Kluyveromyces lactis: one gene and its partner. The protein of the gene in region 1 interacts with the protein of each later gene in a pairwise test. Links are inferred from orthologs where the notes say so. Each region holds a gene or a part of one and is shown on either strand. Other genes may lie near its edges.

Region 1 (3,334 bases):
AATCCCATCACTATCTTGGCTCACGGGCTTCGCATTGAGTTTTGTGATGGGTCTGTTGTAACACTGAAGTGTGATAGTTGCAAAGAAACATTGTCATTAGACCTTTGCGATTCGGAGTTCAACCAGCAGTATGCATCACATTTGTTAACAATGCACAAATCCGTTTGTTTTTGGCATACTAGCAGTGTTCCGTTGGACATTGTATACTATGTGAATAAGAGCAGTGTCATTTATGAGATTGAGAGGATTAAGATCCAATGGGCGCGGTATTCTGGGTTATCTGATAGATTTAAGTCATGGCAGCTGGGGTTTCCGCTCCCAGAGAAGATCAAACTGCTTTGTGGATGGTTTGGATATCAATCTTTACAAAGTTCGGATATTGCTCTTTTGTATGTGCTACTTAGAGGATACGCTCCCGTTGATGGTCAATCTGAAACAGATTTTGGGATCTTACAATGTGTTGGATCGTACTTAACAGTTGATGTGAAGCAAGTGCTGTGTAATTCCGATTTCAACGGACATCCTAAATGGAGTTCACATTATGATCAGGATACTATTCTCGACTTACTCTATGATACTCTGATCGAGATCCCTGATGAGTCAATGCAAGGCAGAATCTCACGGTTGAAAAGGATTATCACTAAATGGTGATGCCGAAGGCTTTAAATATACAAATAGTACATAACTGAGATGATGATAGATATACAATTGCATACGAAGCGATATGGGTCACATCAGGAGCAAAGGCCTAGAGGGGAGTGGATACAAAGGAAACCATTACACGTCGCCGTTCAACAATGCGTCAAGAGCACCCTGGACAGATCCTCCGGCACGTCTTAGAGCAGCAACATTTCTATCGAAATCAAAGAATCCCATATCGTTTAGTTGTCTGAGTTGAGACTCGTAACGTTCTTCCGGTGGTCTGTTATCTACAGCTGGAGCAGCACCGGTGGCGTTGGAGTTCCCACCGAACATACTAGCTAAAAGCTCTTGGTTGAACTGAGGTTGTTGACCACCTGGGAATAATCCAGCGAAGGGATTAGCTGCTGCGGCATTTCCTGGAGTCGCACCGAATAAACCTGCAAATGGGTTAGCTTGGCCTGTTGAAGATGCTGCAGCACCTGTTGCTGCACTATCGGCATCATTTGTACTAGTTTCATTAGCCCCACCAGCCCCACTAGCACTACCTGGCGCAGGAAATGCAGAAGCGGCACCATCTGGAGACATACCCATCGAGTTGGCCATTTGCATTGACTGTCTAATCATCTGAGGGTCTGTCATCATTTGTCTAAAGAAGGGGCTCTGTAACATATCTCTTGCTCTCGGACCCAAAGCCTGTAATTGGGGGTTCTGTTGGATCAAGAAGTCGACCATTTGTGGATTACTCAACATTTCATTCATTTGAGATTGGAAGATGGGGTTCTCTAACATTTGTAGCATGGATTCGGGATTGGCGCCGTTACTGCTGTTCAGGCCACCGTCTGGACCAAACATATCAGCTGAGGGCAAATTGGCGAGACCTGCATAACGGGCACCAGTCAAATCAGCCAATGGGTTAAATCCACCAGTCTGACCAGCAGAAATGTTGGAAGGAGCTGCTGAGTTAGTTGCAGCTGGTGATGCTGCACTGCCAGTTGTTGTACTGCCGGTTGTCGCAGCGGATGCACCACCAGACTTCACCATATGCACAGAATGGCCATCCTGGATTTTGTAAGATTCAACGGTCTCTGTATCTTTCAAAATCTTCCCGGAATAAATCAAACGCTGGTTATCGGCAGGAACACCACTTACACCACTGATAGTCTCCTTAAATGCACGAATTGTAGCAGCACTTTCGATTTCAACCGTCCAATTGTTCTGTCCAGACTTGACATGAACGCTAATCTGTGACATTTTTAACACTGAAAAACTCTCGCTAATATCTAGCAGCCAAAACAGGGGGGAAAGGTACTAAGTACTTAGAAAGTGATCGGTCTTCAAAGGTACAACCTGAAGTTTACAACCAAACATTGGCTTTTCTGTATCTTTAAGTTGTCAGTTAACAAGGAATTGAGTTGAAATTTCCTTTTGAAATCATTTTATTAAGATCGAAAAGTGAAGACAGAGAAAACGAGAACTCAAAATGGGAAGGAATGGCAAGTAAAGGGCCATTATTGATAAGCCTGGGTAAGATACTTTATAGTAGTTTATATTTGTAGATACTAGCACCTGTTAATCGCTTGAAATGGGGGTTTTTCGGCCGGAAACAATAGATTTGAAGGTATTACATGTATTGCAGCCATGTATAAAACTGATTTGTTTTAATCACGTGACGCAGCTTCACCAAAAATTTAATTTCAAATCGAAACGAAAAGCTTCGAAACGAAACACAGAGATCAACACCAAGGCAAGGAATTAGATTAAGTTTGAGAAGCTGGAGTGAGGGTTAGTCAGACAGGTTCAGCTGTGAATATCTTGTAAGAGATATCAGGTGGATATCAGGTGAATACCAGGTGTGTACGGAAACGGAAAGAAATGGCAAAAAAACTGAGTGATGGACGGAAACCTGGGAGTGGACGTAAACCTGGACGAGCCAAGACTTTGGCAGAAGGGCGGAAGCCCGGCAGTGGGCGCAAGAAGGGGTCTAAGAACCTTGGAATCAGTAATGGGGCTGTTAATGCTACTGGTAGTGGGACGCGCCGCTCACGTAGCTCGTCACAGCACTACGGGATGGACCACTCATCGTCGTCTGCCTCTTCCCCAACTATAGCTATGGCTACTTCTTTGCTGCTTCAACAGCAGCAACAGTTTCATAACGGGCAGGCTCACTATGCTGCTCCGCACCGTATAATGAAACGGGGCACAGCGGATAGCGCAAATTCGAGTTCTAATTCAAGCTCGAATTCAGATCCAGTATCGAAACGAGATAGAGAACTTATCGACGCCTTGAACAAGCTCTCACGTTGCAAATCACCTCCACAGTCGCCTGATCCAATGCAGACGGCTAAATTACCCATGCTCTCGTCGTTCTGGGGTTCGGTGGATGTCCCACTGCGACAAGAACATGAGCAACAGCTTCAGCATCAACTCCAACTCCAGCTGCAGCTCCAACACCAACTGCAATTGCAACACCAGCACCAACAGATACATTCACAACAAAACTCACTTAATAGTAACAACTCTCACCAGCAGATTCCAGGTGTCATGTGGCCCAATACGCCGCCGCCTCAAGTCGCTAGTTCTTCTTCATCATTGCACCAGAACAACCCTTCAGCTCATCCTTCTGACTTAAACTCTTCTCACTGACCTGACATATGTGTATAACAATCTGTATATTATACTATATTGTATTGAA
Region 2 (2,797 bases), on another chromosome or scaffold:
TGCTATTGGTTATGTTTCTTACGACTGTGTTCAGTATTTTGAACCAAAGACGAAGAGACCATTGAAAGATGTGCTACAAGTACCAGAATCTGCTTTGATGCTATACGATACCATTGTTGCATTTGATCATGTTTTCCAAAGGTTCCAGATCATAACTAATATCAATGTGAAGACGGTCTCATCTTTGGAACAAGGTTACGAAGATGCATCTGAGATTATCAAACGCATTATCGCCATCTTGAAGGATGAATCTAGTCCGATACCATTACCTGAACAACCATCAATCAAATTGAACCAGACTTTCACATCAAACATTGGTCAAGAAGGATACGAACAGCACGTGAGAGATTTGAAAGAACATATCAAGAAGGGTGATATCATCCAATGTGTTCCATCTCAACGTGTCGCTAGACCAACTTCACTTCACCCATTCAATATCTACAAACACTTGCGTACTGTGAATCCCTCGCCATACTTATTCTATATCGATTATTTGGATTTCCAAATCATTGGTGCTTCACCTGAATTGTTATGCCAAGTTGATGCCAAAAACGAAGTTATCACTCATCCCATTGCTGGTACAGTCAGAAGGGGTCAGACTCCAGAAGAAGATGACAGATTAGCGGAAGAGTTGAGAAATTCTACTAAGGACAGAGCAGAACATGTGATGTTAGTTGATCTAGCCCGTAATGATGTGAACAGGGTCTGTGATCCAACCACCACTTCCGTGGATGAGTTACTTTCAGTGCAAAAGTTCTCTCACGTCCAACATCTTGTCTCTCAAGTCAGTGGTACACTAAGGAAGGATCAAAACAGATTTGATGCTCTAAGGTCTATTTTCCCTGCAGGAACAGTTTCTGGTGCTCCTAAGGTCAAGGCCATGGAATTGATCGGAGAACTGGAAGGTGAAAAACGGGGTGTTTACGCTGGTGCCGTTGGACACTGGTCATATGACGGAAAATCCATGGACACATGCATTGCCTTGAGAACAATGGTTTATAAAGACGGTATAGCCTATTTGCAAGCTGGTGGTGGTATCATATTTGATTCTGACCCATATGATGAGTACGTAGAAACAATGAACAAAATGAAAGCTAACCACAATACTATTCTACAAGCAGAGCAAATTTGGGCTGAGAAAGTTGGCACTCAAGACTAGCGCTGTATATGTCATATCCACTAATAGTTGAACCTGAACCTTTCCCGTTTCGTTCACAGTATGTATTCTATCGTGTATTCACATTAGACTTGTTATAGAATTGTAAAAAGGTAGCTTTAAGTGTACCATGGATGCACATATGAATGGATTAATGCCACTGGATAAATATACGAAAGGTAGGAGTAGGAATCTGGTGGTCTAAAGTACCAGCAGACGTCCTACTTCATACGTTTCTATCCAGCAGTTGCATATAATCTTTTCTTTAGGAAAATTTTACATTAAACCGATATATTCCAAGTGATGACAAGGAGATCACTGGCAGAGCATATTAAAGCAGAGGAAACTGACACTATCACTACAGCTACATCAAACCATAACTGCTATCCAGATGGCACCATCATCGTTGAATTTAGCAGTGTTGTTCACGCTGTCAGCATTATCTCTGACAACTGGATATTATCTTGGACAGATAACACCATCAAGGAAGGATGAGATACAAGAATTGTTGAAACAAGCGAAGATTAAGGCTGAGCGAGATGAGCAAGCGTATGCCAGTGAACATGACGATGGTGATGAGGACGAGGATGAAGACGAATCTGAGGATGAAGATGAAGATGAAGATGGCATTGCAGTAGATTCCATATGCCTAAATGACATTCCTGGTGAAGTAAGGATGGCCTTGGTTATCAGGCAAGATTTGGGAATGACTAAAGGGAAAATCGCTGCTCAATGTTGTCATGCTGCATTAGCCTGTTTTAGGCTTATTGCGTGTGATCCAAGTAGAACTTCATATAATCCGGAGATGACTCACAGATGGTTGGCAAGAGGTCAAGCAAAGATTACTTTAAAATGTCCAGATAAGGAAACAATGGATGAGCTCTTCGCTAAGGCTATTGCATTAGGAGTTAACTCATACGTTGTTCATGATGCTGGTAGAACACAAATTGCAGCGGGAAGTGCTACTGTTTTAGGTTTGGGACCTGCTCCGAAAGCAGTCCTTGACCAAATTACTGGTGATCTCAAGCTTTACTGATACTTCGATCTCTCAAATCGTTGGAATAATCATCGACTGCATAAACAACTCTATCCTGAAAATATAAGGATTTAGGTTGTCTCCGTATATTTAAACTTGTACATATGTAATAATCTTTGTAAAATTATACTATATTTAAGATTTATACCCATCTTTGGACCACCACTGCATTGCATAGGTCTTGATCTTTCAAAGTGGAGTCAAATTCGTCAATGGGTTTTACGGGAAATGCATGGCTTAGTGTAAATGGGCGCATTTCTGCTGTGTTAGCTTTAACATGCTGGTACAAGAATCTGATGGTATCTGTAGAGTTACAACGTAACACCTCCCTCTTCCCAGAAGCATATCTGATCTGTACACTAGTGTCTCCCTTTAGCTCGTCATCTGGCGATTTTTCTTTGATTTCAGTCCCTACTGGAGTAGATTCGGCAGGCGATGCTGATTGAGAGTTTACTGCATCACCAGGAATGGGTGAGCCCAATCTCTTACCTGTTCCTTGGAAGCCACTCACTTTTCTCTTAGGTGGAACGTAAGGCTCTTCCAACTTTTTATAGACCGTGACATCGACCTCTTGTCCGAATTCGACGTCCAATAACTGCAAAGGA

What was found.
Region 2: the proteins of DSK2 (region 1) and PTH2 interact in binary tests that used the Saccharomyces cerevisiae proteins (3 or more experiments, as listed by UniProt). The link is inferred for Kluyveromyces lactis from reciprocal best matches to the Saccharomyces cerevisiae genes DSK2 and PTH2.

What each region holds. Positions count from the first base shown.
Region 1 is NC_006040.1:160,187-163,520, reverse strand, and holds DSK2 (ubiquitin domain-containing protein DSK2), read right to left. Parts: upstream 1,894-3,334; coding exon 778-1,893; downstream 1-777. Other genes in the region: KLLA0_D01881g (uncharacterized protein), read left to right, coding at 1-651; DAT1 (Dat1p), read left to right, coding at 2,515-3,285. UniProt on the Saccharomyces cerevisiae protein: Involved, with RAD23 in spindle pole body duplication. Involved in the ubiquitin-proteasome proteolytic pathway.
Region 2 is NC_006041.1:1,781,717-1,784,513, forward strand, and holds PTH2 (aminoacyl-tRNA hydrolase), read left to right. Parts: upstream 1-1,547; coding exon 1,548-2,192; downstream 2,193-2,797. Other genes in the region: anthranilate synthase TRP2, read left to right, coding at 1-1,159; protein phosphatase regulator SHP1, read right to left, coding at 2,335-2,797. UniProt on the Saccharomyces cerevisiae protein: The natural substrate for this enzyme may be peptidyl-tRNAs which drop off the ribosome during protein synthesis.